Linked DNA regions of Saccharomyces cerevisiae S288C. The main gene of each other region encodes a partner of the protein of the gene in region 2 in a complex. Each region holds a gene or a part of one and is shown on either strand. Other genes may lie near its edges. A codon is read from its position in the direction of its gene.

What was found.
Region 1: the proteins of NOP56 (region 2) and NOP1 are in contact, whole or in part, in a crystal structure (PDB 6ZDT), measured with the Saccharomyces cerevisiae proteins. Residues at the interface, in NP_013298.1 of Saccharomyces cerevisiae: Glu10 (codon at 1,988), Glu11 (codon at 1,985), Pro12 (codon at 1,982), Lys32 (codon at 1,922), Gln35 (codon at 1,913), Glu36 (codon at 1,910), Asn39 (codon at 1,901), Phe56 (codon at 1,850), Asn65 (codon at 1,823), Ala66 (codon at 1,820), Ile69 (codon at 1,811), Ser70 (codon at 1,808), Glu71 (codon at 1,805), Ser101 (codon at 1,715), Asp102 (codon at 1,712), Leu105 (codon at 1,703), Glu122 (codon at 1,652), Gln125 (codon at 1,643), Asp126 (codon at 1,640), Arg129 (codon at 1,631), Arg132 (codon at 1,622), Leu133 (codon at 1,619), Glu148 (codon at 1,574), Gln151 (codon at 1,565), Leu152 (codon at 1,562), Leu154 (codon at 1,556), Gly155 (codon at 1,553), His156 (codon at 1,550), Tyr158 (codon at 1,544), Ser159 (codon at 1,541); in NP_010270.1 of Saccharomyces cerevisiae: Lys169 (codon at 980), Val193 (codon at 908), Tyr195 (codon at 902), His201 (codon at 884), Arg205 (codon at 872), Ile208 (codon at 863), Ser209 (codon at 860), Ala211 (codon at 854), Lys212 (codon at 851), Pro215 (codon at 842), Ile217 (codon at 836), Ile218 (codon at 833), Pro219 (codon at 830), Ile220 (codon at 827), Ile221 (codon at 824), Glu222 (codon at 821), Gln228 (codon at 803), Lys229 (codon at 800), Arg231 (codon at 794), Met232 (codon at 791), Leu233 (codon at 788), Ile234 (codon at 785), Gly235 (codon at 782), Met236 (codon at 779), Ser257 (codon at 716), His258 (codon at 713), Met259 (codon at 710), Phe260 (codon at 707), Leu261 (codon at 704), Lys262 (codon at 701).

What each region holds. Positions count from the first base shown.
Region 1 is NC_001136.10:423,757-428,847, reverse strand, and holds NOP1 (rRNA methyltransferase NOP1), read right to left. Parts: upstream 1,485-5,091; coding exon 501-1,484; downstream 1-500. Other genes in the region: trans-2-enoyl-CoA reductase (NADPH) TSC13, read left to right, coding at 1,914-2,846; serine/threonine protein kinase CDC7, read right to left, coding at 3,116-4,639.
Region 2 is NC_001144.5:541,677-548,111, reverse strand, and holds NOP56 (snoRNP complex protein NOP56), read right to left. Parts: upstream 2,016-6,435; coding exon 501-2,015; downstream 1-500. Other genes in the region: PBA1 (Pba1p), read left to right, coding at 1-259; rRNA-processing protein PWP1, read right to left, coding at 2,414-4,144; glycylpeptide N-tetradecanoyltransferase NMT1, read left to right, coding at 4,808-6,175. UniProt on the Saccharomyces cerevisiae protein: Required for 60S ribosomal subunit synthesis.

The DNA.
Region 1 (5,091 bases), on a different chromosome or scaffold from region 2:
ATACAGTGATGTTTCTTATGGGCAAAGCCAAAAAAAAAAAAATACGTAAGAGTGACAGATGAAGAAGTGACACTTTGAACAAAAGACTCTATCAAAATTTTTTCAGATTCAATCCAAGGATAAAGAGAAATCTATGATGTAGTGTTACAAGAATTAATGATATATGGTCATCAAACAGTGTCGAGACTGGAGAACAGCTTATCGATATTGTTCCTACCTTTAAAAAACTCGAAATATGATTATGATTTCTACTTGCTTGCTCTTAACAATTAATGACCAAAAAGTCACCACATATACTCTTTTTTTTTTATATGGCGAATACGTACAATACTTTTGTTCTCTAAAAGAATTTAGTAATATCTATTTTACAAAGTCGAGGGTTACAAAAACTTCAAATAGGAAGTGAAACTGAATGGGGGAAATATATATAAACGAAACAATTATTCTGCTAATAATTGAGCAAGCTACCAGAAACTTTTGACTAATTTCCTTTATTCAACTTATTTCTTCAAACCGCTTCTCATGTATCTACCAACGACGATACAATGGTCTCTTTCATATGGCTCTAAAGTCAATTGTTCTAATGGCTTAATACGTTCCTCACGTAACTTTTGAACTTCTCTAGCAAAAACGGTTTCCGCGTCTACAGTAGAATCAATACAGTTAGCCTTAATGGAGATAACAACACCACCTTGGTCCTTCAAGAACATATGAGAGTTCAATGCAATAATACGAGCTTGATCAGGCTGGGCAACATCTGCGAAGACACAGTCAACCATACCAATCAACATTCTGTATTTTTGTGGGTGTCTAGCATCTTCAATGATTGGGATGATATTAGGTCTCTTCTTTGCCATAGAAATCAATTCTCTGCCTGGTCTGTGAGAAAATTCTACGGCGTAGACAACACCTTCTGGACCAACAACATCTGAAACGTGAGAAACAGAAGTACCGGAAGCAGCACCTAAATATAAAACTTTCTTGCCTGGGGCAATAAATAATTCATCTAGACCACCCATAATACCGGCAGCCAACTTAGATCTGAATGGGTTCCATACACGGTATTCGACCTTGGTTGGTGGGACACCATCTTCCTTAGATGGTTCTTCAACGGAGATTCTCTTTTCACCATAAACTGATTCACCTGGGGCCATGTTCTTGGTAACTAGCAAATCTTCTTTACCTCTAGCAATGTAAACACCGGCATGTCTATGTGGTTCAATAACGACCTTGGCACCACCACGGGCACCACCAGCAGCGCCACCTCTACCACCTCTGGAGCCACCACGGGCACCACCACGAGAACCGCCTCTACCACCGAAGCCGCCTCTGGAACCACCACGGGCACCACCACGAGAACCGCCTCTACCACCGAAGCCACCTCTGGAACCACCGCGAGCACCACCACGGGAACCGCCTCTACCACCGAAGCCACCTCTGGAACCTCCACGGGAACCACCTCTGCTACCTGGTCTGAATGACATTACTGTTTTAGTTGATTTGAGTTAATTTGATCGGAGTTATTGAAAGCAATGGGCAACTTAGATTTATCCGATGAATGATATCTAATTGTTTCTCGAAGAATAACTTATATAACAGTAGTATACCGATGTAAGGAAAACTTCTTGGCTATGTAAAACTTTTTGAAAGTTAGAGGAAGAAAGTATTATACATTCAAGAGAGATGAGCTTTCCAATTTGAAAAATTTTTCAAGAAAAAGAAAAAATTTGAAAAAAAAAAAAGAAAAATATAATAAACATATCATTTTGTACGCAAAAAGTTAAGGAATTATGAAAAGGGACTAAGAGCGTGAATTTTACAGAACGGAGGACAGTAAGATTATATTCTATTTAGCTATCTAGAAACCAATTGAGCTATTTGAGAGAGATACATATTTTGAATTTAATTTGAAAATGCCTATCACCATAAAAAGCCGCTCTAAAGGGTTAAGGGACACTGAAATTGACTTATCCAAAAAGCCTACTTTAGATGATGTTTTGAAAAAAATCTCTGCTAATAACCACAATATCAGCAAGTACAGGATAAGATTAACCTACAAAAAGGAATCTAAACAAGTTCCGGTTATTTCAGAATCGTTTTTTCAAGAAGAGGCTGATGACTCAATGGAATTCTTCATCAAAGATTTGGGTCCCCAAATTTCATGGAGATTAGTCTTCTTTTGTGAGTATTTGGGTCCAGTCTTGGTTCACTCCCTTTTTTATTATCTATCTACCATTCCCACAGTTGTTGATAGATGGCACAGTGCTAGCTCCGACTATAATCCATTTTTAAACAGGGTTGCATATTTTTTAATTTTAGGACATTATGGAAAGAGATTATTTGAAACCTTATTTGTTCACCAATTCTCTTTAGCTACTATGCCAATTTTCAACCTGTTCAAAAATTGTTTCCATTACTGGGTTCTAAGCGGTCTCATTTCATTCGGTTACTTTGGCTACGGCTTCCCCTTTGGGAATGCTAAGTTATTCAAATACTATTCATATTTGAAATTGGATGACTTGAGTACATTAATTGGTCTTTTCGTGCTTTCAGAACTATGGAACTTTTATTGCCACATTAAATTGCGCCTATGGGGTGACTATCAAAAGAAGCATGGTAACGCTAAGATCCGTGTCCCATTGAATCAAGGTATTTTCAATCTTTTTGTTGCTCCCAACTATACTTTTGAAGTTTGGTCTTGGATTTGGTTTACTTTTGTGTTCAAGTTCAATTTATTTGCCGTTTTATTTTTGACTGTTTCAACAGCTCAAATGTACGCATGGGCTCAAAAGAAAAACAAAAAGTATCATACCAGAAGAGCATTCTTGATTCCATTTGTATTTTGATCCTCCTGTTTGCAACATGCCCAAATGCAAGGTAAAGAGATATTAGCTTTCACGAAGTGGCGTAGTAGCACTATTGTTTAAGTATCGTCTGCACCTGTGCCTTTTGGTATTTGGCACTATCTTAAGCGCATGCCACCAATTATGCTAAACCGTTTCACTTTAAGAAATTTTTATTTAAATCTTTCACTATGCAAATATGTAAGTACTTTTAAAATTCTCTTTCCAAAGAAAAGGAAATTATTTCAGACTAGCAGTAATTTATCACTTTGCTATTCAGATATTAGGAGAACATCCTTATCGAGCAAATCTGCCTCGCTTGAGCTGACAACGTCATCTTCGTCAGTACTCTCGCCATCCAGTAAATATGTGTTTTCATTCAATTCATTGAAAAACGGGGTTTTCAGTAAATCTTCTGCTGAACTACGCTTTTGAGGATCCATTTCGAAGCATTGTTCCAAAACCTGGAAGCACCAATAATGATCGGACCAAATTTCTTCTTGATACTTTTTCAACTCATAGGCATCAACAGCATCCATATTTGTCTTGGGGTCAGGTAATTGAGGTTCAATGGACATCCTGTCATGTAATTCTTGTTGTAGAAATCCGAATGTTTCAAAAGCAACACTGTACTCAGGGAACGTACCTATGGTACATTCTTTATTAAGCAAATCATAAACAAATTCCTTCAATCCATTAGAATATCCGTTTGGTTTATCCCAAATGAGCCCACTAGCTTCGAAACCCAATCCATGCAACGCTGCGCATTTTCTTAATTCTTTCCAACCAAAAATAGTACATAACTCTAGCAAAGAATCCGCATCATCTAAACTTTGGAACATTGGAAATCTTCTGCCCAAAAGACTTAAAAGAATAACACCTACGGACCATATATCAATCTTTGTGCTTTGAGCCCCACACTTCATTAACACTTCTGGTGCCCGAAATCCACGAGTCCCTGCTCTATTAGCCCTTTTAATTCTACGCGTTTCATTTTTAGGATAACCCTTTGTCAGATCCACCCCATTTACATTGTTTAAGTGGACGACCTTGCCATTTTGTATGGTGACCATAGGAGGTGTTTGGTTATGTGAGTTAGGAGAATATTGATTACGCATAATGCATGGACAAAATTGTTCGTGATTCCTCATTGAATATCCACCATCATGGTTTGTATTTGCATAATTGTCGTAATCGTTTTGACTAGATATCATGCTTTTATAATCCATTTGAGCCTCGGCTAGACCAAAATCAACAAGCACTCCACGCCCCAATTCCAAATTAAATAAAAAATTTGTCGGTTTGATGTCTCTATGAATAATTCCCTTCGAATGAACAAACTTCAATGCTCTTAGTAGCTCCCAAATGTACTTCTTGATTCCCTTGATTGGTAGATCCCTGTAGAAAGTTCGGAACTCCTCGTGGGGATAGTACGGTAAAACAGCAATGACTTGATCTCGCACCCTTTTTGCATCACATAGAGGGGCTACTCTCGAAGATCCCGTCATTATGTACAGCAGGTTGAGCTCATTATAAATTCTTTGCGGTGACGAGGTAACGTATATTTTCTTCAAAGCAACATAGTTCGAACCATAATTCCAAAAATGTGATGCAAATTTTTTTGTTATTTTCCCAGTGATATCTTTGGCTTTATACACTGACGAAAATGTTCCCTCACCGATCTTGTCTATGAGTTTATATTCATTTTCTATACCCGGTAGATCATGATAGAGCTGTATCATCTCTTCTTTGATTTCTGGAGGTATATCATCGATATTCTTCGTTTTGCTTGTCATTATGATTGTTCTACTTCGAAACTGCCTCTTTCCTAAGAAAATTAGATAATAGCACAATTGTTATTGAAAATTTAAGGTAGTCTGTTACTTCCCGTTACGCCTGCTGAGCGGTTTTTTTTGTTAATGGTTCTTGCATTGATTTTAGGCGGAAATGTGAAGTGCTCTTCTACTCACTAAATTGATGCCGTTCAAGAAGACGCCCCAGGGCAAAGAAGACATAATTTAAAAGCTGACCGGGGACAAATGTTTAAGATTTATGTAGGCCTAAGGCGTTTATCGAGCTAAACGGGAAGTAATTTTACTCTATAAAATGTCATCTACACAAGCATTGCCCCATTAGATTCTTAATTATCTTCAAAACCAGGGCTACACCTTAATTTCCCAAGCTAAAAACATGCTTATATAGAGGTTTAAAAAAAAAGCGTCGTTCGTTGATAAAGTTTACGAACGTA
Region 2 (6,435 bases):
ATTTATAACGGGATTCATAGGAAGTGTGCTAACACAATTGATTGTCGGTCCCAGTAAGGGACTGAAATTTAAATGTCTTGTAGCGCCTAGTGAGGGGCCTAATGGATTTGAGAAACTTTCGTTGTCTGACATGGGTTCTTTAGTTGATTTGTGCGGTCAATGGCTTGGTTTTGAGCCTTCAAGATATTCTGAAGAATGCTATCGCTTATGGAGGTGTGATAGCGCGGCAATTGGTGCACAATCAGGCCTATATATATGAATGGCGATCACAGAATGTCAGTAATGGCGAGTGAAAGAGGCATAAGAGGGTACTTAAGCTCAAAATAACATATGACTTTTTTATTTAATAATATTTCTAAATATACAATATACAGCTTCCAAATCCTAAAGAAGAATATTAGAAGGGAATAAAAGATAATATATATATATATGAAAAACTTTAAAGGGAAGAAAAGTACACAAAAAGATGGGATATACTTTATTTCGATTCATTGTTCCTTTTAATCCTTACTTTTCTTCTTTTTATCCTTCTTTTCCTTTTTATCTTTCTTTTCCTTTTTGTCCTTCTTTTCCTTCTTTTCTTTCTTTTCCTTCTTCGATTTTTTCTCTTTCTTTTCCTTCTTTTCTTCATCATCATCTTCTAATTTTCTCTTCTTTGAGGATTCCTTTTCCTTGGTTTCTTCCACTTCTGCAGCTGGTTTATCTTTGTTATAAAGTTCCATGGCTTCTTGAATGGCTAATTCATTCTTCAAAGTTGGCTTACCAGTGTTGTAGAATTCTAATCTTTGCTCAACTTGTTTCTTTAGTACGGAACCAAAAACATTAGATGGTTCCTCAGAGTAATTGTCAATTCTAGAGGCCATAGAACATTTGTTAGCCAAGTATCTAGAAATACGACCCTTGTTCTTGGCAGAGGCCTTAGAAATAAAACCACTGTGGTAAATCAAACCGTATTTTGGAGTGTTACCTTTAGTTTTTAAAGCTCTGAACAAAGCCTTTTCAGCACCAAGAATTTGAACCGTTGAAGCTGCTTGCTTAGATAAATTAGTTAGGGAACCTGCGTGAGAAATTAATCTAGCACCAATCACTTCACCAATCAATTCTGATAAGTTTGGTGCAACAGTGTGCATTTTTTCGCATAAGTAATCGTATAATTGTCTTCTGTAATCAGCTAAGGAAGCGACTCTCTGAGCGAAAACACAAACATTTTCCATATCGGTTTCTGATATATCTTGTCCCATGGAGATACGGGCATTGTCAATGACTCTTTGTGCAATTCCCGAATCCTCATTCAAAAGAGCAGCCAAATCATGTAAGGAGTCATCGTTTAATGAAGCTTTGTCCTTGATAAAAAGAACCAACTTGGCAAAAGTGTAGTTGTCTGGTACCAATTTAGCCAGTTCGGGGAAATGCCAGCCATACCACTCTTTAACTCTCATAGCAAAAGTGTTGATATCTTTATCTAATTGATCTAATAAAGCAATAGCTTGAATGATGTGATTGTCGTTCTTTTGAACAGAGAACTTCACTTTAGCTCTGGAGTAAGCGTGACCTAAACCTAATTGGGCTCTTTCTAAGTCACCAGATTGTAGACCTTTGAATAATTTTTCGCCATGTAATCTGACACCACGAATCAAATCCTGAGCAAGTTCATTTGAAATACAATCAACATATGGAAATTCTTCCTTAATAGAAGGACCTAAGTTTTTATCGGAAATAGCCAAAGTAATGTTCTTCTTTTTCGAGGAAGCCTTTGGTAAGTTTAAATCCAAGATAGCTTTCAAACTCTCAGAGACTAAACCTTCTGATATGTCGTTAGCATTTTCAAGGGCTTCAGCAGCACCTTTGAATGGCGCGAAAGATACAAGTTCGATTAACTTTGTAAAAGCACCAAAATCATTGATTTGCTCTTGAACTTCTTTTAATCTTGAACCAATGTCATCTTGTTGCAACTTAACCTTGAAAACTGCGTAACCAGTAGGTTCTTCAAACAGTAGGTATTCAATAGGAGCCATCTTTCACTAAATACTGTTCTGCACGCTTCTTCTCCTAGAAATATACCTTCCAAAACACTTTTAATAACTACTTAAAAAACTGTAGACACTACGCAATTGCACAAAATTTTTCATTTCCCATCTCATCACTCAAAAAAATTTCACTTTGAAAAAAAAAAAAAAAGAAAATTTTCACATCGCATTCTACGAGCGTATATATGCCGGGTGATATAAAAAAGTTACACAACTGTAATTCACCACATTGTCATCATATGCTAAATTATACCGTAACAGCACATATTAATGTATTATATTGTTTTTTTCTGAGGCTCCTCTTACACTAGTATACAGTATTATCTTCTATAGATTTTTTATTTGTACTTGCAATGTACTCTGCTTTAATATTTTTCATATCCAGATTATGCCATGTCATCATGCTCATCTCCACCTTCTCTTTCTTCTTCATCTTCACCTTGATCATCAATGGTTATAACAGTATCTGGGTTATCGTTACTGGTGTATTTTCTGGCGATTCTTGAACTTTTTCCTATTTTTTGGGCTTCTTCTTTTGCTCTTGCTTGAACATTCTCTAGTTCACTTTTAAAGCTCTTACGTACAGATCTATTGGTAAAAACGTCCCATAGTTTCAAAACTTTATTGACACCACCAATGACCATGGTACCCGCTACCTCGATGTCTGGAGCGAATGACGATGTCAATACATTTCCGACATCGAAATCACGAGACAGAACCATGCTTGGGCCCTTAGTGTTCGTAGCATCATCCAAGGGGAATTTCCATAATTTGACAGTCTTTTCACCCATGGCCCCTGTACTCATCATACCAGGGATGAATTTGTTTGAACATAATGTGGAGATACCAGCATCGTGTGCCTTCAATGTCCAAACTGGTTTACGGTTTTCATTGTTTCTAATATCGAAAGAATACACATTACCAGAATCAGTACCACATAATATTATATTTTCACTGGCAAATGTAACAGTTTCTATTTCCTCACCTGCCATGGCAGACCAGTATTTACTCATTTGACTTTCGTCAGAAATTCTAACATCTGTTAAAGCTACTCGAGAATCATAACCACCGGTCAAAAGAATGGAACCATTCAACATGTGCCATTCAGATGATGAAACATTTTTGTTTGAATGAATGGAAGCTAAGGAGCGGGCTGCGTTACCTGAGTTCAAATCCCATAGTTTTACGGTATGATCTGCAGAGGTGGATGCTAAAACGGAACGGAAATATTTGTTGTGTGCCATGGATAAAACAGCATCGGTATGATGAGTAGTAATGTGTCCAGTCTTAGACTTCTTCTTCTTCTTTTTGCTTTTCAAAGACACCATTGAATTATCAAGAGGTTCACCCAGAATCATATCGGGAAAGGCCTTGTCAACACAGTCCAAGTTCCAAATTTCAATTTGTGGATCAAACGTACCAATGGCAGCATAATTGGCTGCTTCTTCGGAATTGGATCCAACCTTGTAGTCAAGCCACTCAACACATAGTGGAAAAGCAGGCAACATTAAATCATGGTGAACGTAAAGTGCAGGGTCACGAACCAATCCACGAGCAACATCTGGGTCAGCTTCATCACCTTCTTCAACGGGAATATCGCTACTGTGGAACCCAGCACCGTCATCGTAAACGTAGATATCCAAATACGAAACGTCATCTTCTGTTCTCGCAGCAAGAACTAAATTATCGGATGGGTAAACTTGTAACTCCTGCTTCTCCTCTTGACTATCCTCTTGATTAGGCAATGAAATATATGGATCTTCACCTTTTTCACCCTCATGGAATTTAACATCGCTATCATTACTTAAACCCGGGAACATGGAAACGTCTTTACCACCCTCATTATCTGCAATTTCCTCATCGTCATATTCTTCCAGGTTATATTCTTTCAAATCATCATCTATATCCAACTGATCCTTCAACTTATTAGAACTACCTGTTGCGGCGTCATCTTCAACACCTGATTCGCCTTCTGCTTCTTCCAAAGTAGCTTTAGCATCATCCAAATTCAACTGTGCTAATTGGTTAATTCTTTCCACTTCCTCATCATCCAGAACATACTTTTCAGGAAATTCCGAGGAAAACCCTCTTGGAACCCAATTAGTAGCAGAAATCATTAGTTATTTTGTTTTTTTTATTCGTCTTCTAAGTTTCCAAATAAGGAAGGCGTAATAGACTCAACTGAGGGTACACTTGCTATCGTTTACAAATTAAAACTCTTTGCTTCTTTCAAACTCATCTCAGCTCATCGAGACAAATTTTTCACTTCTTTTTTTCGAGGGCGAGAAAATTTATTACCCGACTGGATATAATATATATAGAATAATACATATGATCAACTCAAGGTAGGGCCTATGGAAAAGTTTTACAACGGACAAGGCAATTAAATTGAATTGCACGATTCTCTAATTTTTTATTCTTGCAGATTTGTTTCATGATAAATTCGCCAGTTAGAGTTCTTATTATGGGTGGGTAAGAATTCAGTTAACGTTTAAAATTCTCAATATTAATCGCAAAGTGGAAAGCAAAGCAAAGTCTCACTAGAAATTGCAGGCGGACTATGTATAATTACGTAATAGTAGTTCTTGCAACAGAGGATCCTTTCGACTCTTTTGAAAGGATACTGTCATAAAACAATAGGATAAAATAATTTCAGCCGTTGCTCATGATAAAAGTAATTCACTATAATTGAAGATGATATGTGTTGCACGCTTTTTAGAGAATGATCTGTACAATAGCTCTGGTTGTCATAGAGCTTCGGTAGTAAACGTATTTATAGAATGTCAGAAGAGGATAAAGCGAAAAAATTAGAGAATTTATTGAAGTTATTACAGTTGAATAATGACGATACTTCAAAATTCACTCAAGAACAGAAAAAAGCTATGAAAGACCACAAATTCTGGAGAACGCAACCGGTCAAAGATTTCGATGAAAAGGTGGTGGAAGAAGGCCCCATTGATAAGCCAAAGACACCGGAAGATATATCTGACAAGCCACTACCTTTATTGTCTAGCTTCGAATGGTGTAGTATTGATGTGGACAACAAAAAACAGCTTGAAGATGTTTTCGTTCTACTAAATGAAAACTACGTGGAAGACCGCGATGCAGGCTTCAGATTTAACTATACCAAAGAATTCTTCAATTGGGCTTTAAAGAGTCCAGGTTGGAAGAAGGATTGGCATATTGGTGTTCGCGTTAAAGAAACACAGAAATTAGTTGCCTTTATCTCAGCCATACCAGTAACACTTGGTGTTAGAGGTAAACAAGTGCCTAGTGTAGAAATCAATTTCTTGTGCGTTCACAAACAGCTAAGATCGAAGAGATTAACACCTGTTCTAATTAAAGAAATTACGAGACGAGTGAACAAATGTGACATCTGGCATGCATTGTACACGGCAGGTATTGTTTTGCCAGCACCTGTGAGTACGTGTCGTTATACTCATCGTCCCTTGAATTGGAAGAAACTTTATGAAGTAGATTTCACAGGGTTACCAGATGGGCACACAGAGGAGGATATGATTGCTGAGAATGCGTTACCGGCCAAAACAAAGACAGCGGGATTGAGAAAATTAAAGAAGGAAGATATTGACCAAGTTTTTGAGTTGTTCAAAAGATATCAATCCAGGTTCGAACTAATTCAAATTTTCACAAAAGAAGAATTCGAACATAATTTCATTGGTGAAGAATCGTTACCATTGGATAAACAAGTAATTTTCTCATATGTAGTCGAACAGCCCGATGGAAAAATTACAGACTTCTTCTCATTTTACTCATTGCCATTCACAATCCTAAATAACACAAAATATAAGGACCTAGGCATCGGGTACTTGTATTATTATGCCACCGATGCAGATTTCCAATTCAAAGACAGGTTTGATCCAAAAGCTACTAAGGCTTTGAAAACAAGATTGTGTGAATTGATTTATGACGCTTGTATTTTGGCCAAAAACGCTAATATGGATGTTTTTAACGCGTTGACTTCGCAAGATAATACATTGTTCTTGGATGATTTGAAGTTCGGGCCCGGTGACGGGTTCTTGAACTTCTATTTATTTAATTATAGAGCAAAGCCGATTACCGGTGGCTTGAATCCCGACAATAGTAACGACATTAAAAGGCGTAGCAATGTCGGTGTTGTTATGTTGTAGTGGCTGAAAGGACGAGGCGTATATAGTTTTCGTGTACATAGCCGACAGAATTTGACCACATTTAGTTTTTCCGCATAGTCAATTGACGAAGTGAAAAAATAATTAATCCAATGGCTGGCTTTAGAGTGTCAGCCTCCAAAATAAATCCAAAAATAGACAAAGAGAATCACTATAATTACCGCCTTGGAGTCCAAGTTGGCTTGAGAACTCGCATTTATTTTTAGCGACTGAGGTAGCTGAAAAACGCCTACTTTCTCAGA